Styela clava: one gene and its partners. The protein of the gene in region 2 interacts with the protein of the main gene of each other region in a biochemical or structural test. Links are inferred from orthologs where the notes say so. Each region holds a gene or a part of one and is shown on either strand. Other genes may lie near its edges.

Region 1 (6,814 bases), on a different chromosome or scaffold from region 2:
CTTACAATAATGTACACGAGACCCACCTCCGGAGCACCTCACATTATTTTAAAAGATGCGCGGCCGCACGGGTAATACGTGACGCGATACGCTTTGGTTTTTCTCGCCCTTCCCCTGGGTGTAGCGTTATTGTTATCACAGGTATTCTCACTTTTGCACAACCTAATTCATTTTTGTTACAATTTAATGTTTCTCCCATTGCCAAAATCATTCAACGGTGTAATTGTCGGCACTAGGGAAAGAAATGAATAAGGCAAACAAACCGTATTTCATTACAACAATTAGTTATTATCGCTAAAAAAGAGTAAAAAGACTAAATAGGTTTAAAGTTATTGTGAACAATTTTCACCGACGTTATGAATTTCGTGCAAGGCCCGAGCCTACTTTGATGGCAAAGATAGTAGCATTACTATGTCGAAACGCTTATTCGACTTTTCAGACCGCAGAAACTATGCGAAAAATAACCCTGTCTGTGTTCGAGATTGCAAGAATGGGCAAAATAGAATATTTTTATCGAATCGAATATTTTTAACGAATTGTCGAATATCGGATATTTTCAATACAAATACAATGGGCATCCAGAATGCTAGGCATTCTAATGTTGGTGTGCTATTTCCGCCCGTCCTCTCCTTTTTTACAAGGACTAATTCTTACGCAACGTTTGGTTTTATATTTCTTGGAGAACTATGCGTTCATATGGGCGACATATGTTAAAGACGGCTATTAAAGAGTGAATTCGGGATTTTATTCTGATTTTTATCTTTTAGGTCGGTTTTGATCTTTCTCTTCACCGATTATAAATAAACTGTCCCAACTTTAAGCTAACAATATTATCATTTCTGACGTCGAAATGCGGATATTTAACGATAGTTGACCTTTTGCTTTCCTATTGTGTCTGTTTTATTTTCACATTGAATGGTGAATAAAAAGCCTGAAAAGTCATTGCGTAAATCCTGAATGTTATTTTGAGTTTAAATATTAATTAAATAAATAGGCAATAATCGCAATTCTACTAGTCAAATAATAATTCCTTGGTCAAATTTGGGAAAAATTTCGCACAATAATTTATTACCTTGGTTGACATCGACAAATTTGCAGTTTCTGTTTGTTAGCAAGAGCCGTGAACAATTCTTTGGAAATTCAAGGGATTGGAATCACTTGGAATAAGTTCGAAAATGAAATCTCTTCGTGGCTCACCAAAATCTGGTTGGGAACCACTGCATTAGATATTCAAAAATGCCCAGCCCTATCAATGAGCCACATTATGCAAAATATTGAAATCAACTACTGGTATATCATGAAGTTTGATACGGCCTACTTCGTCGGCAACAACAAGTCCTATTATAAATACCGAGCTGCGGTGATTTGTGTCCAAGCGGTAAGAGCGCCCAGACCGCAAGGCTTATTTCGACTCCAAAGAGACTTGCCATTAATAACCTCCTCAATTGACCCCTAGGCAAGTTTGTTCCCACACATGTTAAAAACAATGTAGGTCCAAAAATTTATTCAACTGAACCGAGTAAATATGGTGGCACTGGTCATCAAAAACGACATGGAATCCTCCGACGGCAGAAATGATGGAGAAGTTTCAGGAGACTTGCCGCAGAAAGACTATGTGCAGGAGTTCGATGTCCCCAATTCAATGAAAAATTTATGAAATAAATAGTCAATTAATTGACATATTGATCTATTTCGCGGTAGGCTATATCCTTCCCATTATAACGCTTAATAAATCAACGGTGAAACGTTTTCAACATAAGTCATATTTTGATTACTAGTTGAGAGACCGCGATTCGAGTTGGTCGTAATGGCTGTGATGATATGTGTTTTGAATGCAAATGATTATCATGAGACTTACCGGATCCATGCGACAGCTGCTTTTTTAAAATCTAAAAAATGACAGCACCCAGGTGAAGAGGATTTACGCGAACATTACTTACGCTAAAATTGATTTAACAAAAGCTTAGGCACTTCTGGGAAGCTCATTTATAAAAAAGGTATATCACGGTTATACTTCGATATTGTTAGCTGAAGGCATCGTTTTGAACTACATTTGCAATATCTGGAAGTTTAGAAAAGCAGCTGGGGTCTAGTATGTATGCGTAGTTTTCGGAGGATTTTACAAACACAAGGAACTAAATGTCTTGAGCACTTACATGGTCATTTTAGGCAATCCTGGTCGAACTCACGCACTTATTTTGAATATTGAAATTATTCTGCCAAATTTTATACTATCGTTTTACTGTTGCGCCACCAATAGTGGGAAAAAACAAAAAAGACAAAACATGGTTAGATTACAATTTGCCTATGTGAAAAGGTTGGGTAGAAATGGGGAATACGATGTCAAATGAGGAGGCAGTAAAGCCAAGATTTGAATCTCAGAGGGCAAGCACAAGAAAACGCATACCGTCGCACTCCTGATTAACCCACGCGGGTCGAAATCCGATTGGGATATTTATGCATGAGATGAGTGCTGGTCTCATTGCCGTCGTAGGGTGGTTCACGTCTTTATAAGCCTATTATATATACGCTTTGGTTCACGTAACCGCTTGATTGTTACGACATCATCCACATCAGGTCAATGCATCTGATAAATGGTGATAACCACTCTCACGCTGGAAATTTATTGGAAACTGAAGGAGAAAACGTCTTGTCAGCTTTACCGCCTCGAGGGGTCATGCAGACAATAATCAGTCAAAAATTATCCCACGAGACTCACGTGGAAGCATCAGAATTCAATCCCGCGGAGTAGGTGGCTACTTGCGAAGGTGAAAGCTACTCTAAAACTGAATATAATAAATAAATATATTGGTCATCTGCAAACGAATGAACATTATGGACCTTTCCCCGACCTTTGACCCCCGGATAATTCTTTCTATACTTTACCATTGCAAAATTTTCGGGGCCATTTTAAGAGTGCTTTTGCGAGTTGGCGCCTGTAAAATGGGGTATGTGTTACAAACCATCATTATGATTCATCGCATACAACAATCTTTTTTTTAAAAGTTCCGGTAAAGAATTTCAGGCTAATCTATCACAGCTATTTCTACACTAATTTTTATTACTGCAATCAAATTAAAACTCCTAGGAAGACAGAGTGATCATTGAATTATCTGATTTATATTTAAGTTTCCGAAACACAACTGAAAACTAACGAATAGAGTTCAAAAACGCGAAAACGAGGTAATGTTTACAACCACACTTGAAAATCTGTCTGAGTGAGAAAAGTGTCTGAGCGGATGCGAAAAGGGGACATTGTTACGTCACTTTTTGCATCTTGCTGATTGGCCAATGTCACGAAGTAAACAAGGAAAACGATGCTCGGGGAAAGGTCCAGAGTAGTTCCCAACTTTTCGCATATCCGACACAATGGGGGCGTGCCCGATTCGTCACGTGATTATCGTCACTCAATAACAACAACAAAACTGATTAGTCATATGACGAGTGACGCTAGTGAAAGACAAAGCGACAAGCTACTGGCAATTACTGCGGTACTGACTCAGGTCTGTAGGTTATAGATGCAACGGCAACTAGTCCTTAAAAACTACTGTAGTATATTTGGTTATTACTGTATTACCGGTACCTACCTGCCTACCGATATCTCTAATAACATTATCAGAATACAGGGACATCCGGATATACTGATATAGCTGTATAGGGAAAACCAACTTCCTGACTAGGCTATTTCTGGGCGAATTTATTTATTCAATAATCTGGTAATAGGCGTAGCTATAAATAGTGACATAAATAATGACAAAATAATAATATAGCATATTGATACAAAGAAATAGGCTATTTGGTTTTATTTTATGTCTTCGCTACAGTCTTGGAATACAGGAATAGGTATAAAATATGTGGAAAGAGGGTTTATTCATAAAATTATTCGAAAAATATATTTTCTCTATTTATTCGACTAATTTGAGAAAGGAGATGATTTTTTAACATTTCTTGGCTTCGATAATAAAATAATCTTGTTCCTAATGGAGGAAATGTCGAAGTATAGTGATCTCCGAACAAGCGAGATGGGTGTGGAATAATCCAATATCATCCAAATTTTGATAGCTAAATCCAATGAATCATTAGCAACAGGAACTAACAATCAATCAAATTAATCAATTAGTTTTGATTTGTTGAGATTCCTCACCTAAGTGAAATTTCAGCTATAACCCTAATATTTTTTCACTTCATACTTGTAAAAAAGATATAATAAGAGGATAAGAGGATACTTTTGTTTTTTATTTTCAACAGAATTTGTGATAAAAATATTTTAGTAAATTTTTTTTTTATATAGAATTTTATTATTTCCAATTGATGAAAATGAAGTGGCAATTTAAACTCGATCATAATTTTGGTAAGTTCAATTATAAGAGAGATTACAATCAACGTAATTGAGCATTGGTGGAACTTTGTGGAATAAAAATGAACTGATTTCATTGATTTGAACAAATTGTCTATTCACCTATTGGTTTATGTTGTGTAAAGGAATGCGTATGAAATGAATGAAAATATGCGTACTTGTGCAGTTTCAATTTCAGAGTTTCCTAATTGCTTATATAATTAGGTGTCAAAGATTGAATACTTATTGGTGTGAACAATCTGAACTTGACACTTGACTTTGATAAGTTGTGAAGTGACTTTACATATCATTTTAACACATCTTTTTTTCTCAGATCATCGGTGCAATGAGTCTACAAAGATAAGAGCGAAATATCCAAATAGAATTCCTGTATGTATATTATATATTTCATTTATTAGCTTGTATTTTAATGTTTGCAAATATCTTGCCTTTTCCTAACACTTGTCCTAATATAATTGTTTCCAAACTTTCAGGTAATTGTTGAAAAAGCAGAGGGTTCAGGAATAGTGAATATTGACAAACGAAAATATCTCGTTCCTGCAGATATTACTGTTGGTCAATTTATGTGGATTATAAGAAAAAGAATTCAACTTGCTCCAGAAAAGGCTATTTTCTTATTTGTTTGTAAAATGGTTCCAAATTCTAGGTAAGACTCAAAAAATTATATTCTGGTAAGGTCATAATATGAACAAATTGGGTATGTTTGATGTTATATTTATAAGGTGTAAATTTCCAAAAAAAAAACGTTGGTATTCAGATGTCAAAAGGCCTTGTTGGTAATGGTTTATTACTACACAATTGGCATCACTAGGCATTTTCATTGTATGGTATTTCAGCATAATGCTGCAAGACTAACGAAAATTCTCCTATTCCTCATTTTAGTTTAACAATGGGAGCATTGTATGAGGAACACAAAGATGAAGATGGATTTCTCTACATCGCTTACAGTGGTGAAAATACTTTCGGCAGCTCCTGAAAACAGCGCAAAATAAACTATACAATTTTAAGATATGTTAGATTATTAAATGGATCACAATTATTCGATTAGGATTTATTGTTATTGTTGTGTGGGATAATTTTTAAATTGTTGTCTTGGTGAAATTTGCTATTTGTCATAGTATAGACTTGCAAAAGTAAACAATAATTTATGTCCAAAATGTCTCAAGTTAATCTGAAATGTTTAGGATATAACAAAATTTCAAAATCACATCAATAATGTCTGTAAGACAGAAAAGGCAACTGAGATGTTAACACATTTTGCAGTTCAAATATTATTATAATATTTTTTAAAAATTTTATGGTATTTTCTGCGTCAAATTTGTAATATGTAAGTTAACACCGCCATTGTTTCTCCGTTAAGATAATGTCAAGCATGCACTTGTTGTAAGAGTTTATCCCAATTGACGATTTGGTCACCTCCGTCTCTCATTCTAAGGCTGCAAAGTTTAACCTTCAACCTCTTAGCTTCAATTCGTAGTATGGTGTTCTTGAAAAGTTGTTCAAGTTCCTCCCCACAGTAAATCACATATCAAAAATGTTTCAGTAGCTCTGTTGTATATCTGTTGCTTTTTAAAAAGTTAGAAATGTTGGAATAATAATTTTGGTATGAAGCGCTTAAACTTTTAGCCTGGTCGTTTAAAGAAATCAAAATTGCATTTTGCTAATTGTTCATAACCTTTTTATTGATTAAAAAGTATTCAAACTTGTTTAATCTTACACACCACTCATGCTTTGTATTGTATTTATTTTTGTTTCCACATGTGCATTTCAATTAGTCAGAAAACATGTGCTGAATTATATTTGATCCTGGATGGGCAAGAGATGAAGCTGATTCGGAAATACCATCCACTTTTCTTGACATGCACTTTTTGTTTAGATGTATGGGTGTATATTTTTAAATACTTTCTTTATATGAATACATGTGAATATTTAGCCTACATTAACACTCTGCACGCTTGTGAATGATGTAGATTGTAGGTATTCAATGCTTTTTGTTACCTGTGCATCCAATTAGGATTTCATAAGGACAAGTTCATAAAATGTGACTTAGTTAAGATTAATTTATAGTTATTAAACCGGTTTTTGCTCGCCTGAAATTTATGTCCTGGTGCCTGTCCTTCCACTGAATTAGCTGCTGGTTCTAATTCATACACTGTTAGTGAATTTTTTAGGTTAGAAGTTTTTTCCCAGTCCGTTACAGGTGTCTTAAATTGTTCAATTCTCCTGCCAGCTGCTATATACGAGGCAGGTAGGCCCTTGTCTTTGTATAACCAGTATTATTAGAAATGGCATCACTCGTGACATCGATCCTAGAGTCTATGAAATTTCCGTTGTCTCGATACTCCCATTACAGCCTTTTTGTACATATTGATCGTTTCGTTATTATGTTGTTGTTGATCAAGTTATTAATACTTTTCTTATTGTGAAAAGTCGCTCTTATTAACTACTGGACCAATC
Region 2 (7,196 bases):
TAAGATGAAACCAACTATTGATGACATAATATGATTAAGAGCATAGCTGGCCATATCAAAAATCATCTTGACAGCGTTTCTCTCCCTCAGTTCAAATATGAAATCCTATCTCAAAAGAACGTACCTGTGCATGGCAGCCAGGTGCTTGCTGACCCCAAGGGCCAAACCCCCATGAGTGGGGGTGTGGTGGGGGCGCGAATCCAAACTGTCCCTGCCATTGATGTGGAGGAGGTCCATGAGGAGGGGGTGGAGGATGATGAGGTCCATGGGGACGTGGGGGGAACCCAAAACGTCCTTGATCATGGGGGTAATGGCCATGCCCAAACTGTTTCGCAAATTTCTTCCATCCTCTGCAGAAATCCTCTCCTGTAGCTGAAAAAGGAATTTATTGTTAAAAAATTATTTCAATATTTTTTGGGTTCTCTCAACAACTAAGGCTCTTACTTAAAAATCTTCAGAAACATTCGAAAATATAATTTTGTAATATCGAAGAAAACAAACAATCAAAGTGCCGATTCTTTTTAATCGTCATTACAATACATGAAAAAGCGCAGAAAATTGTTTGAAGATTTCCCTCGAAAACAAATCACGTGGCTGGCAGCGAAAAGTGGCGATCATTTGGAATAATCTAAAATTTGCTGAAAAAGTATTCAAATACTTCGATATTCAATCAGTTTTAAACAACCCTGTCTAGGCATGAGCGAAATTTTAAAAAGTAATTACCATTTTCGCCGTTGTTTCCATCTTTTTTAACCTGAAAATGAGATAAACAAAGTTTAAAAAATAATTGAAGCAGATTTAGAATACCTGGATTAAAAAAATAGAATAATGCAATTGAAATGCTGCCCAGTCATGGTTGATTTATTTATTGGGCCAGAATCAAACAGAATCATATTAGAAGATATATCTATCATCATCCTTGCAAGAATATACAGAGTTTCCATGAAGTCCCTTCACAATTTCAATTTTGTCATGAAGTCAGTCCTCAATATATGTTGACCAGGTTTGTTGTTTTTCATTCAGGAATTGTTCAAGTATTTTAACTTCATTTATTACCACGTGAGGTCCAAAACAATATATGGTATCGATAAGTTCCCTTTGTAATTTTAAAAAATTTCAAGACTTTATAGACACTATATATTATGAGGATTCACTAATCAGAAGAACCTTATATTATCTATACAGTACCAATGCTGCCCAGTCACGCTTGACTAATTATTATGCCTGTAAAAAGTATAATCTTATGTAGGAGCTCAGGGGCATTGGCCAAAAATTTCAAATGGGGGGTTCTGCAATATCTGTTTGTCAAGTTAGATCGAAACAGCTAGGACCGGTCAAACGCCAGAAAATGTGTGTTTTTATGAGTCTTGAAGGTGTAAAAAGCATTTCAAGCTACTATAAATCGCTATGTATGATATGCTTTTTTTTTACATTTCAAAAGGGGGGGAGTTTCGACACCCCCCCTGGCTACGCCCCTGTAGCAGCTACATACCTTCACGAACAGACGAAACAATCCATCGTTAATTTGACCGAGAGCCTGCATCAATTCTTCATCAGAACTGAAGGAAATGAAATCCTCTTCAGCATCTTTGTAATGCAGAGTGTACGCCTCACCGATGTTAGGGAACACTGAAGAAACCTGTTAACATATTGAAAATGAAAAGTGTTGGAAAAGAACTTTATCCTTGGTTACGCAAAACAAGCATGCGAGACCAGTACAACACAATACAGGGAGTCCTCGACTTACAACGTCGTTCCGTTCTTGAGACGCCGTGTAACCCGAATTTCAGTGTAAGTCGAAACATTATATATAATTACTCTATACATATCGTACTATATTGTAAAGTATGGTACTGAAATAAAATGTACAAATAATGCAAAAATAGTACTTTATTAGAAAAACAGAAAACAATTCCATATCAAATGAATAAAAGCAAATACAGTACAGTATTAATAAGATGGTGGAGAAGTTCGAGTAGGTAGATGGTAGAGGCTCTGTAGTAATTAGTATTATCTTTTATATTTTTATGGAGTGCGTTCGTAACCACGAAACAGCGTTTGTCGGGACCGTCGTAACCAGAAGACATACTGTACTCTGATTCCAAAAAAAACCCCGAATTGAAAGACATCAAATATAACTGTGAGTGCAAACCCCACCTTTACAAGACAGTCAGGGCCTCCATTTCGACGTCATCTAAATTTGCAACCACTGAGTTTATTGGAAAAAATTGATTCGGTATACCGAAAAATGAAAAGTCTTACTGTAGCATTCAAGAGTGCAGCCAAAAAACGCAAATTTGGGCACATGACGGTTACAATTCATTTATATTATTATGCAGACAAGCATGGCGCAATTTGACGCTTATGTGTTTGTTTTATAGAACTAAATTTCGGGACATCTTGGAATTGGAGAACTGTGCCATAGTTTTAATACAAGTTTTCACAAAGCTAGGCCACATTCAATCAACTAAAAATGGAAAGAGTACTGAATTGCAAGCTTTAACTGCCTTTTTTACAAATAAGGTAAAAAAAAATAAAATGACCCAATTAACAGATAAATGACAAGGCTACACAGGGCTATTTCAGTATTTAACAAATTGTTCATTTCGCTCCAGCTGAAAGCTGTTCCCATTATTTTTCGTTTTGTAGAATACATTTTTTTAAAAAATTTGTTAAGTTCCATGTCATACCAGTCAGTTGCAAGAGCATTACTGGATTTGTCATCGCTGTAGGGTGGTTTACATAAATGCTGGTAGGCGCCGGCTTTATCCACTATCAAATTCATGTATTTTATCCCAAGTTTTTCTTACCTTGTTCTTCAAATAGTCATAGCTTGACGAGACGTCTGTATCAATCGTGAAACGACGAATTTCTTTCACATTGTTCGGATTCCCTTTGATAAGGTATGCTTTATATTGTAGAGACATTATTCTATTCTAAATAACGCTTTCAATTCGTACTTAATCGTAAAGTATTGTATCCTAATGCTATATCAGAATATTGAAAGGAAAAGAAGATTGGAATGCATGTAGATGTAGGTATAATATTGTAATCGGATTTTTGTAGACTCTGAAATTAATCCAGCTGAGAGGAAAGCTGAAAAATGCTCTACTCACAGAATTCAGGAATTATTGTGTACGGTAGGTACCTTGCTCTGCAAACCACTTTTTAATAGTTCAGTAATCAGTATTTCTTCACCATCATGATAATATATTTTGTAGGAACAAAATAAAAACAAAAGTTACCGGTACCGGTACTACTGTACTACCTTACATCAGTATGAAAACTGCTTATTACACTTCAACATTATTATCTTGACTCCGTAACCTGGTAACTGCAGATTTATGTATAAAATCTAAATAATGACGACGGAAAGATCAGGAAAATGGGCAAAACCAAGATAAAGGTTTATAGCAAACACTATCTGACTGTAACCAGCGTTTGTGCCTATTCACCAACACAAATGGAAAAACATCAATCATACTACAGTACTAGAATAAATTAATGAACATCGTACATAAACACCAAGAAAATAAAATTCACGGTTGAAGCCTATTTCTGTATTTGTAAAATTTGGATGAGTGAAATTCGTGAAGAATAAAAACAACAATTCGAGGTTATGTGACGGCGCCTGTGCCGAAATGCCAATACCAATATTAAAATTTATCCCAATTAGGATAAATGTTATTAATGGTATTGACATTTCGGCACAGGCGCCGTCACATTCAATGTCAATCCAATGCCAGAATGCCGAAATGCCAATACCAAAATAACATTTAATTGGTTAGCTGCAAAAATATATATTCTAAAATCAAAATATTTAACTTCAATATGGCAAAACAACGCAACGCAGTGTCTCGTCAACAAATATTTTCAAGACTATGCCTCGGGCCAACAGAAGTCACGCGAATTTATATCCAAAATAACTCTTTCTAGAACGTTCTTTGTCTGTGATTCAGCAAAACATGGAGGCCGCCACTTTGTTTTGATTGCACAACGTGATCACGTGACGATGACTGTTCTTTGTTTCTTTATTATATTTGCAGACGTGTAATTTGAGATATCTCGTGACCAGGGGATTCACCGGAATTATCACTGTGTTATGGTCGCGCGGTGGTTCGTAATGTTTAATATATTAGTAATTTCTTTTTCTAGAACATTCGTGAGGGTTTTACCTCGCATTTCATGTGCTAAATATGGTGAAATAAGGTCATGTGAATCATTTTGCTATGCTAGACGTGTCCTGCGTGAGTTTCAATGGCCTATTTTACTTCACATGTCAGCTATGCCGTACTTCAAATACATTGTGGCCTATGCTTTTATCTGCTTATGTTTTATTAATATCCATTACTCGATACTAGATAAATTTATACTCCTAATCATATGGCGATGAATAGACTAGTTCCTGTCAGTACACAATTATATTTTTCCATATTCATTCTGGGGAAAGGTAAACGATTAAGACGAAATAATCACTTCGCAAACCACAGCCTCTCGGTAATATCGAGGAATAGTTGCCCAGTAACTCGTTCCAGATGCGCAGATTCGATGACCGAGGAAAAGGTAATCGACCTCGGACGTCGAGGAGTTCATCAATTTCCGAAATATTTACGGTGTTATGGTCACGCGGTGGGTCGGAACGTTTGATATATTTTCTCATACGAATTTATTTTGTGTGCAAAATATGGTGAAATACAGATGGTGTCAATCAATTTGATGTGATAGACGCGGCCTGTGTATGTTTGGATGGCCTGTTTCTCTCTCAGGCAATCTATGCCGTACTTCAAATATCTTTCTTGATTGTCCCACGTTTCATTGGTGGGTTTGAATTTTGGAGTAGATGAAAGCCGATAAGACGGCTTAATCATATAGCGAACCACGAGCTCTTGTGCTGTTTCCAGTCCGTATTCAGAATAGGGCATATTCGTCACAATAGCGACATAGCCTACCGTATACCGGTAACCTGCCGCCAACTGCTCCATGTTTTATTCACATTCATTACGAAATGTGAATTCCGAAAAGAAAAAATCATATAGCGAACCACGGCCTCGAATCCCGTACCAGCCCATATTGGGAATGGGATCAGTTAACCAGTTATTCGTTTCAGATGCATAGATTTTAATGGCGCAGGGATGTCGAAGAGTTCAGCAATTACCAAAAAATATTTACTTTGTCGCGCGTCATAAATTGCGTCGCGTCATGTCATAAATTAGGTACGTATCGTCGACCGCCGCAAATTTTCCGCTTGTCATTTACCAGGCACGAGTCGAAGATATATATACAAATCGGCAGTTGTTTAACGTCGTCCATGAAGTAGTCTTCGATATGTCAGTTTATCTTCCATACATTATCCAGGTATTGTCTCATTCACTTATCATGGGCCTAAGACGAATGCAAAACTCAGTAATTGTCTAACTAAGGCTCATGGTTGGTACATATTCCACTAGAGCTGACTTTGAAACCAATAATACTTTACAACCGATTGTATTTTAACGACCGTAAGCGTACTATTGGCGACGAGTTCGAGGTAGAGAGCACTTTTTATTTTTGTGTATTTTGCTGTTGTTGAATGTAATGATTACGTGAATCCACGAAGACTTGTGTTCCCATACTTTGTATAATTATCAAAATTCCACCTCTAGCGAAACGTTTAACTTGGCCCAAAATAACTCAAAATAGATCAAAAAACAAATTATTATCTGTATATTATTATCAAAAAATAAATTATTATCTGTAAATGTAGTGTCTGACATATATATCATGAGATACTGGTTCTTCTAATAAACATGCCTTATAATATGAAGGGAACTCTATAAATGTGCAGCGTGTGTGTTTGTCTCATACAACCCGTGGAATAAGTTGGTATTTTACAGAACAAAAAACGATAGTTGTCAGTGTGGATTACCAGAGATGGAAATAAAGCGATTAAGGATGCAATTTATACCTTTACGAAGACTTACTTTATATATTTTGAATTATATATATGAAATCATATTTTGTTTAGTAATAGTTTTCGATTAAATATAATAACTTTTAAAACTATAAAAGTCATATATTAAAAGCAAACCTTCACATATCTAAAGTGGGGCTAATGTTCTAAAATAAAGAATTAGGTGGGTTCCGAATCAAATACTCGGAAGGTCCGGATTCGGACCGAGTTTCGCCAGTTGAGTAGCCCTACTATAATGTATAAATTGCGCTTTTACTGTCGCGAATAGGCACATGTTTTTTCTATATTTTTAAACAAGTTGGAATAATGTTTTAATCGTGTATCAGTATGAAAACTTTGCAGCGGGTTTATGCACAAGACAAATCATTTGGTGCATATTTTTAGCCATCGTAATCTGAAATAATCTAGATTTCTTCCAGCATTTCACTTTGAATTTACACAATTTGAAAGAGATTGTTGTGTCAACCCGTATGTCCTATGCTTGCTTTAAATAATTTGATCCTGTTAGCCACAAAAGTTACAACTCTCTATGGCTACTTATGGAATGAAGTTCTGTAATGTGTTAAATCATAAAATGCGCATTTTTTGTTGTTTGTTTTAGCATTCCAAGATTTATATAATAATGACAGAACCAAATGTTTCCTCTAATTCTAGTGAAGGTGACCCTTCACCCCCAGCTGCTCAATGTGAACTTCCAGGTCATCCCCAACAACCCGGTATCTCGGACTTACAGCATGAAGAACATGCTCAATCAAGGAGAGTGATTGGGGGGCAACCCATCATAGAAGACATTGAACCTGAAGAAGCACCAGAACCTGCTCCTCCAGTAGCTGGTCCTGACGAACGCCCCGCTCCAGGTGTTACCATAGTACAACACCATTACCACTACAACCAACAAAGAACATTACACTATAACAATGGTCCTGTTTATAAAGGCAAATTCAAAGGCGAAATAAGTGGGTAAGTATGCTAAGTTAATTTGGTTTGTAGCTGCGACTCTAATTTTGATCTGAAGAACACACCGATTTATCTTTGACAACTTATTTTCATTTTGTAAGAGATATCACCCTTCGTTTAAATATATTTTTCGTACCACCTGAAGTATGCGCACCAAGATGTCGCATAACCTGAACCCTAACCTGGTCACAATCTGAGTTCAGGTTGTGCGCCATCTTGGTGCGCATACCTCAGGAGTACCTCTATTTCTATATGTTGTTGTGTGAGTTTCAAGTCAAGATAGTATGAT
Region 3 (7,862 bases), about 14 Mb from region 2:
ATGATTTTTTCACAACAAGAAGAAAAGAAAAGAAAGACTAACAAGATGAACAACAAAATAACAAAACGATCCATAGGTCCACTTCGGGACCAATAATATTCAATCCGAGTTTATTATAGTCGCTGTATCTCGTTTGTCCACATTGTTTAGTCGAAATATATAATAATAACGTTTCATTATTGCATGATCACAAGACCAACCCATCCACTGAATCGGAACTCCTCATTTCTCTTCCTAATTTGCGTTTACCGCTGCTGCGAATTTAGCGCTATCGCTTATAATCCTTTGCTGGTGTTTACTCGCACTTCGCTGCAAAATATTTTTATCGAAACAACTCAGCTGTTTCATTCATTTTGAAATTTTGTTGCCGGGTAGGATAGGAAGGTTAGAATTCACTGCATTAGAATACTTGAACGTTAAAATAAAATTTCCTCAGCATTATTTATCATGTCATTATTTCAGTCAACGCGACGTGGCAATATCAGAGAAACTTTTCGTGCAGACGATCACGTGATTCATCGTTCGCGGAAGAGAAGTGCAAACGGGGATACATCTCACGCACTCGATGGATTCCGTACGTCGATACCCTACTTGTTTGTTATAAGCGGTTCTTTTGGTGATCGATTCTAACCAAATAAAACAAACACATACACCATAAAAGAACAATTTTTTTGAATTTCCCACCTTTAACCACCTCTGGTTCACACTTGCATATACAGTACTTCAATAATGGATAAATCTGACAATAATATGAAATGAAATACTTCGAATTTTCCCATAAATTCCAAGATACCATGCAAATATATTATGTAAAGTATTTTAATTATATTAATCCGCACGTGTTTACGCAATTAATCAATTTTATTTGCTTTCTGTCGAAAGCAAACTGTTAGATAATACAATTGATAAGGCTTAATTAACACTTATCAATAATTACTGCATTTTTGACGAGAAAATTGCACCAATATAACATAAAACGCATTTTTTAGAAATCGTTCATCATGTAGTTTTTCAGTGATCTGTTTTGAACTTTTTCCTATTGGGTCATGTATTTTGTGCAATTGGAAGTACTCTCGGAACAAACGGCATTAATGTGACCATAATGACAATTCATATGAAATAGTTTGAATATGTGATGGAATTCTGAGATATACCTTTACCCGTGGTCAATATTGCACCATATATGGGTCGCATTTCCCGCCGATTGACGACGTCATATGCAACTTCACACACACACACTTGGAAAGTTAAAATGTAAGGAAAATTTCATCGGTTGAATTTTTGATTTATATTTCATTTGTTTATTCCGATATTATTTACATTTTCCTATAATTATTAAATATATAATCCTATATTAACTATTAAATATATGGACTTTACGCAAAAACTAATTCACCTGACGGGACCTATTACATGACCCATCAATGGGATTAAGGATTAATTCAACCTGAAACCAGAGCTTCTATTGTTGTTCGAGACTATTCCAATCGCATTTGACCTTCCAAATTGCGTTAGCTAAATGTTTTCGATCAGAAAATCTATACGATTGGCAGAAATCCGGAAATCTTTTTAAAGGCAGTTAGTTTCACTCATTCCTGGTGCGTGGTGGCACGAGTATTATTGATGTGGAGGAGAACCGTTGCTTACAATAAATACTTTGTATTCACAGACGTTTACATAGAGAGTAATAATAGCACATATCGAGCCTATATGCCTACTAGTTATTGTATGAAATAACAAATAGATTATGTCAAGAATGGAGACCGTACATTTGAACCCACGTACATTTGAACCCACGTGTATATCCGCGGGTTCAATCTATATGTGGGTGCTAAAACCCATGGGTTAGGGTTAGTATGAGTTCAAATATCCGTAAAACAAAAAAAATTTCCAAAAGTGCAATAGTATGCAGGTGCAATTGTCGTGGGTTCAAATGTAATGGAACCGTCAAAAATGCGTTAAAATTTTAGCGATTTTCTTATAAAATCTTCTTTTCCGACCCTGTTATATGTTTCAATCCTACACAAATAAAAATGTAAATTCTAATTATGACGGTATGAAAAGTAACAGAATACATAATTTATGAGATAACCCTTTAAATGCTACTAGAAATCGAAAATACATGAATTCTCAGAACAAAGGGTATGTCATGTGTATGTACATATCCAAATAAAACTACGACGACTATATGACGACAAAATCATCAATTTTCATTTATTCAATTGCCTCTGTACAGTATATATCACAAGTATGCGAATTCGATTTAGAAACTAAAACTATATAAGCATAACCGCTTTTTTTAGGGAACTTTGAATTACAAATACGAGATAATATGTAGTATAAATACACATTATATACACTTACCTAATGATTTCCTCTCTTTGAATGGTATATATTTGTATTCATTTTTTGCGTCTTGTGCTGCATTCCCGTTAGTAGGCGCCATGTGCAAAATCCGATGCAGTCTCTTCTTTTCCAAAAATATAATATCCAAATTTGTAACAAATACCAGAATACTATAAGTAAGAACCTATGATAAAAGATGACAAATTATTAAATACAAGCAAAGCTGAATTTAAAGGTGTTAGTAACCAAACTGTGTTTTCCTTTGAATTACAGATATATATATATCTAGGAATTACAAGCATTAGCATAACACTCGAATCCCTGCACAACCAATATATCATCCAAGTAATTCGATAGAAAAACACCACTGTGCTATTGGCAAATCAACAATATATGTAGCGCTTCACTACATTTCCTCAACCGAAAGCTACAAAATCTCATATAGGTATCATTTCAGCGTAATAGGTCGATTGCATGCTCTATCGCCTGAGAACGTATCGAGATAATAGCAGTCTGCTGCTCCCACTGTCATCAAAATTTATCTTACATTGTAAATTAGTGAGCATAAAAGTAATTATTCGCCTTAATTTGATTAACTGTGTTACAATAATGCCTGGATCTTTACTCACCCAACGATATTCAAGTAAGTAACATATATCAAACATCACAACATCGTCATAACCAACCGTTTAGTTATCTAAACATCTCAGCGTTATTACCAGAGCTTTTTTACGGACAGGCCTGAATGATTTCTAAATAATTATGGCTGGCGGATATCTTTCCAATCGTCACTTAACATTCGAAACGCGAAAGCGGTCTAACGGAAGTGAAGACTGTTGTATTTCCACTCATTGTTGATGTGTTACATTATGAGCAAATGTACAAGCAAATGCTCTACTGAAATGGTCGGTCATTCTTATCACAGCTATCTTGGAATCAATGAGTTGATAAAATGAATACGACTTTCAGATAGCTACGTAATCATCTTCTACCTTGGCTTTGTTATAAAGACTAATAATATCACATGTCAGACTATTTTCAGCTGAGATGCCTTGTATAGCAATTAGGCCATCACATTGTTCCACTCAAGGCCGTCTTCCGATATTATATCCTCAGTAGAAAGGGAAACAGTCCACAACAAACCAACATCAACAAGGAAAACCATCCAACCAAATCTTGACAAAGCGAAGGCGAAAACAAAGTTTACAACAGTGGAGTTATTGAGTGCAACGCTGTTTAATCTAATTAACCGTTGCGTCAACTAATAATTGACGCTGGTAATTGATAAAGCTAATAGGAAATAGTTTATCGCACCGTCTCAAATACCACCTTTATTCTATTCCATTAGATTTATATTGCAAACGGCGCAAGGACAAATCTTAAATTCGTTTATAGAGCGATATGGTTTGCGTCCGATTTCGTAAAATTTCGTGTTACACAAACTATTTATTTACTTTTTAATGTTGCAGATAATTACATACTTTTTGACAGTGTTTAGTAAATTAAACTGATGATCAGCTGATATAGTGATTAGTGACAGTTGACGAGTTTATGCTACATTTCTTTCAAAGAAAAATTAAGGATGGCATCATGGCGAACAGTGTGTCATGTGTGGTTGCACGTATTAATTCACACGCGTGACAAATGACGAAAAGCAAATGACGGAACTTGCTCTGAATTAATATCAGATTTAGGTGATCAGTCCTATTTATTTGAATCATAATATATATATATATACGCAATAATTAGTCACAAGTTGTCATTAGTCATGGTCGATAGAAGGAGAAATACCCGCCTAAACACGTTTGAAGTTCCAATTATTTACAATCATATATATATATGATTACGTTCTCTGAAGTCACGGGCTATTTTAATGACTAATTACGATACTCAAGTCCAGCACACTTATAGTAAAACAAAATAAAAAAATATAGAAATGTTTAAATATATGAACACACAGGCTTCTCAAAGGTACGGCTTTAGCTGGGCACCGAGCTTTTTGCTTAGATCGGTGGACAAGCGCAACAAAATAATGTGTTCGTATCAGACTTTGAGTCATGAAAAGTGTTCTCATCAAATATATTGAAATTTTGGGTGCAGAAGTGTGTGTAGAGATAGGGAGGTAACTAATTTTGTTCGCCTACTTTACATCAAGTTGTGTAAAGGGACTGAAACCTATGGTCAGGGGGTATATTCACTTGGCTAACACAGAAAGTCCCCGAACTCGTAAAATAAGGAAAGTCGTAATAAAATTATGGCTTAACCTGATACACACACTACGGGAGTACCAAATTTTGGGCAAAATTTCGGGTAACATACGACTACGAGAAAAATAAAAGTAACAGTCTTCTAGCGACTTCTATTTTAAAGTACAGAAACTTTGCTACTGTCATTTTGTGTGTAAATCTGGAGATCGATATTATATGGCGTAAAAGATGCTGAGACATAATATACAAATGGCTTTCATGATTCAATCTCGTTCAAAAATGCAAATTGGAATCATGGGTACGGGAATTAGTTGAATTTATATATATATATATATATATATATGTGTGCACAAAGTTTGATTAAACCACAGTCCGATAAATCTTTTAAACCTCTAATAGATGGTGAATTAGATTTACAATATAAAACATCTCATCAAATAATTAACCCTTTTTTCAAATAGACTCGAGATTTGTTAACAAGAGCAATTGAATAGATTTTTTGGTTCAACTATTCTCAATAATGCAACCAAATCGATTTCGCAATACTGTCAGTGAGAAACTCCAGGCAGTTACTAATGATGGTAATTTCGTTAGCGATTTCTGTTGGTGTGAACGAACTCATGCATAAGTAAAATACCTGACCTTTGGCAAGCACGACAATTATTCGATATGACAATATTGGGTACTCCCGTAGTATGTGAACTAGGATGGGGGGGCACCGGAACGTAGAATGTGTACCAAGTTAGGGATAGGCCATAATTTCAGGTACAAATACTACGGGAGTCACTTGGCTAGTCTCCGAGTTCGTAATAGAACAAAAATAGAGAAAATTGGAATAAAATTAGGATCAAAACCTAACCTGGTACACATACTACGTTCCGTTGTCCGCCATCTAGGTTCACATACTACGGAAACGCCCAATATTTAGTAAAAGGAACAATTGGAATATTCGTGCAAAAGTAAATATTTTACAGTATGGTCACTATTTACGATCTGGTAATAAAACAGACGATGTAATCAATCTGGTAAGAAATGGCAGTGGCTGACACAAGATATTTGATAAACTGATTTTAGATTGCACAAAATTGCAGCAACAGATATTTTGTATGCAAATATAGCAATCAAAATCAATCCGTTGCCATTACGCAAAATTCATCATAATCGTAAGTGGGTAACTCGCTGCAAGAACCGTGATAATAATATCTGTCTAAAGTAAACGCTTGGTGGATAAATCCAACTCGTGGTTCAAAGCACATCTTAATTGCTAAGATCAATAAAATAAATAATTGTTTTACTGATACCTGTCACAAATACCTCATTTTCATTTTTGTCGTCGTTTTTTAAAGCAGTTGATGTAGGCTACTCTATAAATAACACACGTCTCTTGTCGCCCAACCAGTCTAAACTCCTCTCAACGTAATCTACCGCCGAACAGCCGGTACTTGTTTACCTCCAACAAAACCTTGGGACAAAGATCGCTCGATGTGCGTCGATCGTCGATAAACAACAGGCAACTGGTTTCACCTGACACGCAAAGGTGCCACAAGCGGCTTTATTGACTTGATTCACTCGGCGCTAAATTTGTTGATTTCATACTACGTAATTAATTTAACTTGGGTAATATGGTGAATGAATTATTCACCCAAGAATGTATCTTGGTAGAAATGGTTCTCGAATGGATTCTGTATTATATAATTAACAATGAAGAAATTTTCTAACGAGACCGGAGGAACACAATAACAATGAAGAGAGCGTTTTATTGCCATTTAAACGGTCATATGACACGCTCTGCTCAATCTATGCGGTCCGTTGCGCTGATAGCAATACATGCCCCAAGGTACATTACGTCAATTATAACCATTTGGAAAGTTAGTCCCTGACGTTTGACTACAAGGCCAGGGAGAAGTTAACAACATAGGTCATACACGGTCACATGGCTGCATGGTGTTAACTCATGCTGTGCGTTCCACTAATGGTCTACACTCGTCATGTCGTACACAAATAATTCTTCGTCTCATCATAAAACTTGTTATTCTATTCAACGGAACAGAAGGAAGAAAACGTGCGTATATCACCGTAGAAATATCGATACAAAGCCTGCAAATGTGTATTAATTTTGGGTCTTGTGTAGTTTCGCACCTAACGTACTTCTAGTAGGCGTAGCATAACAATTTTTTGACGTGCCAATCCTAACCCTCACCTGATTACAGCATCCAAAAATTACGTCACTACGACGTCACAATCACGTCATAGAGCTTGCCAAATACTCGTACGATCGCCCGAAATGACGTCGGCGCCGACGATAAAGAACTGACTAACGTCAGCGATCTCTCTCCTATCGGGATCGTTGCGACGAGAAAACGAGAGAAATGACTGTTCGATTTCGGGTTATCGTCTGCGCGTCTTGGATGACAGTTCGCATAGTTTGAAGAGCTCTATTACGTCACTGTGACGTCGTAGTGACGTAATTTTTGGATGGTGTGGTCTGGTGGGGGTTAGGATTGACACGTAAAAAATTGTTATGCTACGCCTACTAGAAGTACGTTAGGTACGAAACTACATGAGACCCTTAACTTTTAATGAATTATACCATTTGCTTATATACATCGGATCAGATCGGCTATATGCCGGAGTCGGCCAACAAGAAGACGTAAAAACAAAAGGTCTATTCATTGACATTGATCATCAAAAACCGTTGAGTCTCGACTCAACAAAATAATTAATCTGCTACCAGACCCATCCACTGCGCACGTAAATGCAACTTTTATAAAACAGTAAACTAATGGGAAATAGTAAACGACGTATATTATAAATACAGACCCGCACATAATTCAAGTCAATATGCCGTACGACGGCTAACCCTTTATCATTATCTCAAGTGAAAGCTACACTTCGCCAGTCATACTGTTTCTCAGATCAATTCGTCAGCGACCAAAACAAATGTCCAAAAGTTACTGATATTGAACACATGGCAAATACGTTGAATTTATCTGGTCGGTTTGTTTTGACTACACTTGGAAAGAGTTTGCGTCTTATCGTAAACTGAACGGAAATCAACTTTATCTGTTCTGTACTCCTGCGAGTATTCTCTCTCAGCGATCGGATTGGAATCGCTGACCGCGCGACCTCGCCTGCCATCTTCTCCTGTCAGCGTGGCTCCCGGAATCACAGACGTACGGTAATTATTTTATATTCTTTCAACTCGATTTTAGCTTCTACCTTTATGTTAGTTGTGCCAGATATTGAGATTACCAGATTTGAGTTTATCATATAAACAGTTCGCGTTAAAGAACTGGGCTCATTAAATGG
Region 4 (7,491 bases), on a different chromosome or scaffold from region 2:
TTTTTACCTAATTTCCTGGCACCTTTTTCTTGTCAATACTCCAAGCTGAGGTAATAAACATGACAATACATTTATGTCATCTGGAAGCAAAATATGCACACTAATTAATAGTTTGGCACATTGAGATAATACATCATGACAGAAAATACAAGTTAAAGATATGTATGACCATCACATGGTAATTAAAATTTGAAAAAAATTAATAGGGGCTGTGGAGTATGGAAAGTTCAAGACAAAGAAAAGAACAAATGTTCATAGTTCATGAACTCTCAATTTTGCCTCCATTGCTTTGTGAAGGCCAATATATTTCGAGTGGCTGAATTGGTTTACCTTTATGATAGCAACGATTTTGTATTTAATATAGCGAGATTATTTCAATTTAATTGAAGTGATATAATTTCCCAAAGCAATGCTTGAATCGTCTAGAATAGATCAGTGGTGTCAAACTCATGGGTTTTCGAGAGCCGCATTGCATTTTGAAAATTGTAAAAAGAGCCGCAAACAGTTTTTGATAATGTATACTTAAAAGATATTTTTAAGATAGTTTTAGTTTGTGACATATATTGTGATGCAACTAAACAGTTGGATTAAGTTTTATTATTTTCTTCAATTTCAAATGCAATTACATATTAATATTTGCATTCCACTATTATTGCAACATTTGCAAGTTACAGTATTTATTATAAAAAATCGTAAAATTCTATGTACAACCATCAAAATCATTTTTGAACAAGCTTTGAATAAGGAAAGAATAATACATACACTAAAAATAACTTATCTAAATATATGAACCTAAAATTAACAAAAATACTACAGTATAAACTCAATGTTTTAATAATTACATTTGTCCTGGCGTTTGGCATTTTTTTGTGTCACCAGCATACTAAGGCCAGTCTGAAATGATTTTATAGTACCAACTCTAACTAACGAGGCCACATGATCATGGGTTTATCTGGATCTTTACGAATGTTTAATTAATTCCAGTAATGCAAAAAAGTTACTTTTATCATGTATAGATCAGTAAAAAAACAAATGACAGATTTTTTCGACAAGACATTTCGCACTACATTGCGTGGCATAGGATTGCTTGAATTATTATTGATATTGATTTTTAGTAACTAAGTCGTTGTATAATTATATTAATATACAAACACATGGAAATTTTCTGTTCGAAGTTGGTCTTCGAATTTGTCATATTGACTGCTGAGCTTATTGTGTTTTTTGATTGTATTGATGGAAATATGACAAATTAAACAATGTGCTTCAGAATTTTGTGAAGAGCAGAAATGTTACAACTCCCATTTTCTTCGAAAATGCCACCTTCTTCATGTACTTTGCGTTTAATTTAATTACTCAAGTGTTTTATTCAAGTATTCTTTTGCTAGCTTGATGTGTATTCTTAATTGGGTCAAAATGTGGACAAAAAAAATCAATATTTCAAAACTACTTTCAGTAAATTGTTTTCTGTGTGAATAATCAATTTCACTTTAGAAGGTTTGAAAAATCTATTACATTTAGATAAAAATAAAAACTTCCAAAATACTATTACAATTACTGTTAAGCGTTCGAGGGCCGCACTGGAAGTTCTCTGGGGCCGCGAGTTTGAGATCCCTGGTATAGATTGAAGTTGTTCAAAAAATATATGATAGTATTTTATCATGAATGATGATTATACCCCTTCCGGAATTTCTTCTATAGTACTACCAAAAGTTGATGAACCAAATATAACACAGGTGCAGTGAGGTACCCGTTATCCTCATTTCCAAAGCTGTTTTAAGTATGTCTGGCGTGTTTTGTGCCTTTTTACAAATAAGACCGCTTATGCAATCTTACGCTTTGGAATTTTTAGTTATTTTCCTCAAGCCCTGCAGGATGTGGGGGCCATACACAACTCTACCGGAGGGTCAAATGTCTTTGCATGCCTCCATAGGTTGTTTTTCTATTGCAATTTTCTATTTTCAATTGCATTATATTTCTCGGAATCACACTGTCACTGATATGTCGCCAGACTTCTGATATCTCCCCGTCTGCTATAGTTGTCCTGTGAATAAATAATAGGAAATTGAGATTGGACGAATAGTTGAAAGTTTTGCTTTATGTCGGCTTAATTTCTTGATTGATATACTTGCTATTTCTGCTATTGCCTCTTGTGCTGCAAGAGTCTCGCAATGCTTAGACAGGTTTGTCCACAACTTTCACATCTGAAGAAAGAGAGGAGATTTATTAATTTTCGTTAAGAATAAATAAAGCAGTCTATATGATTCAGAATGGAAAAGCTAATAAATCCAATATCTCATGTTTTATTTAAAAAATATTTTACTGAATTTGGTATATAATCAATCAATCAATCATCATTTATTCGTCAACACAATTTAAACATGGTATGATATATAAAAAAATAATTACAAATATAAGTGGAAACTAACTTAAATTGTGTGACAGGAGTCGCGAGGGACCTCAAGAGGTCTTCAGGCAGCGACACCTAAAACGCTTGTTGATTCAGGTTAATAGCTTAAAAAGTTAATGAAACACCAAAACATTTCAAAATAAATATTTTGAAGAAAAAAAGAACATTTTCAAAAAACAAAAAATACCAAATATCCATCATAAGTATTTAAAATAAAAAAAAACATAACATCCTGGTTACGAGCATGTTTTTTTATTATTTAAATCAGTGACCAAATTCATAAAAGATGAAATGCACCGTAGAATTAAACGGTTGCACGAAAAGACATAAAATATGTTATATATCGATGTGGAGTAAAAAAAAAATATAACGATTAACTATAATTCCCTTTAGACTGAATCTTTCAGTATCCCCTGACATGATGCACGCAAGGTCTTTAACCAAAATTTGGTTTTCAAAAATTACGACTCCACGCACATCTGATTCGTTCGCAAACCAACTAATAAAAGGGTTTAGTCAGAAAATTACAAGCATTCGTGGCTCCAAATACTTGAGAAATCAGACTATACAATATAGACCGGTATGAGTGAAATGTTAGGTGAACTTGTTAACACTTTGATTCAATACGCAAATAAAAGTGAATGCGTAATAGTATGTTACAATGAGCAGCAATCAACAATGAGTATATATCCTCACTGATTAAAAAAATCTAACTGGAGGTGCATGAACTATTTGAAACCATAAGGGGTAAGTAAATATGTAATTTCGGCAAATGGGCGACTACGTACCGTACTGAATTAATAACTTCGTAGTATTTGACAAAGGCTGGCTTTCCCACATGTACTTAACAGTGCAATGCCCGGGTGTGATATACAACAATAGTATTCACCTTACCTTTTACCGATTTCTTTTTACCCCAACTTTCAAAAATATCATTAAAATCGACAACAACTGTCAAAGCAGGCACGAACACCATTCGTGCTACGCCTTGAAAGCAGCACACATCCGCTCGTTTTCGTCTCGCCAAGTATGTGCATTGGAGCGTGCTATCGAATACGATCTTCGGACAAAAATGCCGGAGTTGCGCATCATGTTGTTTAATGTCATTGGGTACAGCTATATATATTTATTTTTTGTATATCAGAGGGGTGGGGGCAGATACGAATGAGGTATTATGTTTAATATAATCTTTGGATACATATTTCAGTTGGAATATTCAAATATTTACTGTATAATTCTAACAAAGAAATTGTTTCAATTTAAACTTATACATCTTAGCATTTGCATGCAGTGCCTACGGTATTTTGGATGAGCTAAAACATTATCAGTTTGGTCTTGGTTATTTAAATTAATTGAAAAACCTCCATTTAATAGAGTGAATAAATTTTCTTAGTTTTCATTGTTATCATGACACTGAAAGCACTTCACTCCCATGTATCGATATAAATAGGGCAAAAATAACAAAAACATGCAAAATTAATTACAAAACTTCTGCGACCGAACACTTGTCAATCAAACGTACCCGGTAAACCGTATCGCCATGACCCCGGAAGTCAGTTGATTGCGTTGCCAAAATCAAATGTGTGAATGTTGTTATGAATTGCTATACTGTCTGTATTATATTGTATTAGCTAGCGTACCGGTACAGTTTATTTTCATTTAAATGCTGATTTGGTCGTCGCTTAGGTGTTCTGAAGTTGGTTTTATTTTTATACTAAATACCGGTATTATAATTAAAATTACTAAACAAACTACTGAACTACGGCACCGCAGGTCTCTAGGTACCGGTACCGGTACCGGTATTGAGGTACCGGTAGGCCTAATTGGGTTGGAGCATTGCAGTACCGGTACCGGTACAGGAAAAGGGGATTGAAGTGCCGGTATTCTGGTATTGATATAGCAGTATCAGAGTATAGTATTAAATATTGAACTTATCCTGTTTGTTTATTGCATGAAACTAGCTAATACAGTAATATCAACATGAGTTTGATGCTTTAATCGTTAGGCCATTTCCGGTACGATACCGGTACCGTACCGGTATTCCCACACAAACTAACAGCGTTTTGATTTATATTTTTATCCAGACCATAGTTCAACTTCCAATCATTGAATCAACAAAGTTATCAATCTGTGATTAGGAAAATGATTTTAAAGAAAACTTTATTTTTATGGACAATTTATATAATTTTTGTTTTCTCTTTCCAACTCGGACTTGTGCAATGTGAAGGAGATTATTATGATGTTTTGGGAGTTTCAAAAGATGCAACAAACAAAGAAATAAGAAAAGCTTTCAAAAAATTAGCATTGTTGCATCATCCAGATAAAAATACAGTAAGTGGTATACTTTTGTAAATTGAAGTTCTTTCAACTTTTAGGTTGTGATGATACGGTACAGCGGTAAGTGTTTAACCCAACCTACCAATTGCTGAACTATGTCTGCATGTGGTCATCCAGTCACCGTTGGTTACAAATTTTGGGTTTATATTCTGCAATGCCCCCCACCTCACCCAAGATGTAATGAATTAACGGGTCCCAAATTATAGTAGCTTCCCACTTAGCATTAAATGTTTATTTATAGCCTTGTCAGCAGTGGAAGGCTGAACGTAGCCTATAATATACAGATATACGGTAATCTCTCCATTTTTTTTAAACCCCCGAAAGCATCTTTCACCTTTGACTATTTGGTTGCCCAGTACATTTTTAACTCCTGAAATGTCCTCTCAATATGAAATTTTAGTAAATTTGCTACAAATCAGTTGTAATAAAGTTTGAGATATATCTATTTTATCATCTACATCAGTTGTGTGCAAAATTTGGTAATGAAAGATCTGAAATATTGACAAGGGCCACACAAAATGTCTTGGCGGGCTGGGACATGGCCCGCGGGGGCCGGATTTCTCATGGCCCTCCACTTGCACACCCCTAATCTAGATAATAAATTGATTAAAAAAAATGAAATGTGCTATTGCTCTTATTTATATTTATATATTTTCGATTTTTAGAATGATCCCCAAGCACATGAGAAATTTTTAAAAATTACCAATATTTATGATGTTCTGAAAGATGAAGAATTAAGAAAGAAATATGATCGATACGGTGAAGAAGGATTGAAAGATGATTTCAAGGAAGGAGGATATGAAAGTTACAACTTTTATAAAGATGAATTCGGTATGAAGATTGTTATTCTCGGTGACCGTACATTTGAACCCACGTACATTTGAACCCATGTGTATATCCACGGGTTCAATCTATATGCGGGTGCTAAAACCCATGGGTTAGGGTTAGTATGAGTTCAACTATCCGAAAAACAAAAAAAATTCCATAGGTGCAATAGCATACAGGTGCAATTGTCATGGGTTCAAATGTACGTGGGTTCAAATGTAATGGAACCGTTATTCTCATACGGGTTACAAATAGTGCTGGGTAGCCATATCACTGAGCTGTGGCATTTTGTTGGAGCAGGAGCTGGAGCCCAGCGTATCATATTCATGGCGCTACCAGAAATTTTAATGGCTCCAGATCTTGAATTTTCAATATAGATTTGAAACTTTTTGATTAAATTTGCATAATATAAAGTTTGAATTGAAAATTTAAAACCCTTATATCATGATTTTGAGTGCCATCGAAATTGCATTTATGTTAAAAGTTCAATGATAGTGGTCTGTTTCAATGTACTGTGGTTCCATAGCTGGAGCCATTGTGATTTTGAACCATTTCCCCAGCCCTCGTTCTAAATGAGGCAGATTGAAAAAAAAAGCCAAAGTGGGCTATCTGTAATATTTTTTCACTATTTATGCATTCAAAATATCAAGTTCAGAAGATATTTCATGTAGATGTACAGCTTTGATCATGGCTCTGAAACTCAAGTATTCTCTTCCAAGGTTTCAAATTTTATTCATTCATTTTGTTTTGCAGGAATCTACGATGACGATGCAGAAGTTACAACTCTCGATAGATCAGATTTTGGTAATGTGTAATATAAAGATAATATCCTTTAATTTCAAGTGACTAAGAAATGATATTTATTTTCTGATTTTTTGAGTATACAAGACATGAATAAGTTGATCAGTATTAGTCTGACAGATGGAGCCTTTAGTTCGTATAGAATGGACATTGATGACTAAAATTTCACATAAGACCATAAAATGTATAAAATATCATTTCTGTAGTTATATATGCATATGTTAACTTTTTTATTCGGTTGTTTTTATAGAACATCTTTTTCGGTATGTTTCTCCAGTTCTTACTCTCCATAGCTTTCTGCTCTTGGACAATTTACTTACATATAAAGAGTAATCTAAATACAATTTGACTTCAATCTGAAACATGATTTAAAAACAAAGGGTTGGGCTAGAAAAATGGCTTTTTTTTGATACATCATGAATTGTTATTTTAATTTATCAGAATCCGCTGTCAAATCTGGAGAAACATGGTTTGTTAATTTCTACTCGCCAAGATGTTCACATTGCCATGAACTGGCCCCGACCGTGAGTTCTATTCATTTTTATGTTTTCTTTTATTGATGTAGTACAATACATTACAAAGACTTGTGACTACAAATAATAATAATGATGCAGTAACCGACCAGTGTTCATGTGAACCACCCTATGCTGATGAAGATTCCAACAATTCTCTCGCATATAATTTTTTTCCGCTAGACTCTAACATGTGAACCTGCCTAGGGTAATCAAAGATGTGATGGCAAATTTGTTCCTAGCGTGATGCTCTGATTGCTGAAGTGTATATATATACATAAAATGATAACAGTAGCGTTCCATATTTACTCAATTTTGCTATCCTAACTTCAATGTTATAGTCATAAATTATAAGTTATTGGTATCTTAAATATATACAGTATATATCAGGGGTGTGCAACAAGCGGCCTATGAGCCACGACGAGCTATGTAGTGTGGCCCTTGTCAACACTGAGATTTTCCCCAATCAAGCTTGAAATTTTAATCCGACAGTGTATGTTTAAAAAGGAACACACAGGTATGATTATGTAATGTTTTTTCACTTGTCGCAGCGTTAAATCTTCTGCCGTTTTGCCTGGTGCCCTCGTTACTGTATCTGTAAGTAATAAT

What was found.
Region 1: the proteins of sequestosome-1-like (region 2) and gamma-aminobutyric acid receptor-associated protein-like 2 form a complex in vitro, tested with the Homo sapiens proteins (7 studies listed by BioGRID and IntAct, with this or other methods). The link is inferred for Styela clava from reciprocal best matches to the Homo sapiens genes SQSTM1 and GABARAPL2.
Region 3: the proteins of sequestosome-1-like (region 2) and microtubule-associated protein 1 light chain 3 alpha-like form a complex in vitro, tested with the Homo sapiens proteins (6 studies listed by BioGRID and IntAct, with this or other methods). The link is inferred for Styela clava from reciprocal best matches to the Homo sapiens genes SQSTM1 and MAP1LC3C.
Region 4: the proteins of sequestosome-1-like (region 2) and dnaJ homolog subfamily C member 10-like interact in a test that uses a peptide from one of them, tested with the Homo sapiens proteins (2 studies listed by BioGRID). The link is inferred for Styela clava from reciprocal best matches to the Homo sapiens genes SQSTM1 and DNAJC10.

Annotation. Positions count from the first base shown.
Region 1 is NC_135263.1:15,652,123-15,658,936, reverse strand, and holds gamma-aminobutyric acid receptor-associated protein-like 2, read left to right. Parts: upstream 1-4,246; 5' UTR 4,247-4,311; coding exon 4,312-4,351; intron 4,352-4,670; coding exon 4,671-4,726; intron 4,727-4,830; coding exon 4,831-5,003; intron 5,004-5,239; coding exon 5,240-5,333; 3' UTR 5,334-6,307; downstream 6,308-6,814. UniProt on the Homo sapiens protein: Ubiquitin-like modifier involved in intra-Golgi traffic. Modulates intra-Golgi transport through coupling between NSF activity and SNAREs activation. It first stimulates the ATPase activity of NSF which in turn stimulates the association with GOSR1.
Region 2 is NC_135250.1:30,231,291-30,238,486, reverse strand, and holds the start of sequestosome-1-like, read right to left. Parts: upstream 3,012-7,196; 5' UTR 2,928-3,011; coding exon 2,811-2,927; intron 1,640-2,810; coding exon 1,493-1,639; intron 755-1,492; coding exon 724-754; intron 373-723; coding exon 125-372; intron 1-124. UniProt on the Homo sapiens protein: Molecular adapter required for selective macroautophagy (aggrephagy) by acting as a bridge between polyubiquitinated proteins and autophagosomes.
Region 3 is NC_135250.1:15,924,861-15,932,722, reverse strand, and holds the start of microtubule-associated protein 1 light chain 3 alpha-like, read right to left. Parts: upstream 3,027-7,862; 5' UTR 3,012-3,026; coding exon 2,976-3,011; intron 2,531-2,975; coding exon 2,365-2,530; intron 1-2,364.
Region 4 is NC_135252.1:14,591,360-14,598,850, reverse strand, and holds the start of dnaJ homolog subfamily C member 10-like, read left to right. Parts: upstream 1-4,473; 5' UTR 4,474-4,549; coding exon 4,550-4,738; intron 4,739-5,409; coding exon 5,410-5,575; intron 5,576-6,322; coding exon 6,323-6,373; intron 6,374-6,811; coding exon 6,812-6,894; intron 6,895-7,491. UniProt on the Homo sapiens protein: Endoplasmic reticulum disulfide reductase involved both in the correct folding of proteins and degradation of misfolded proteins.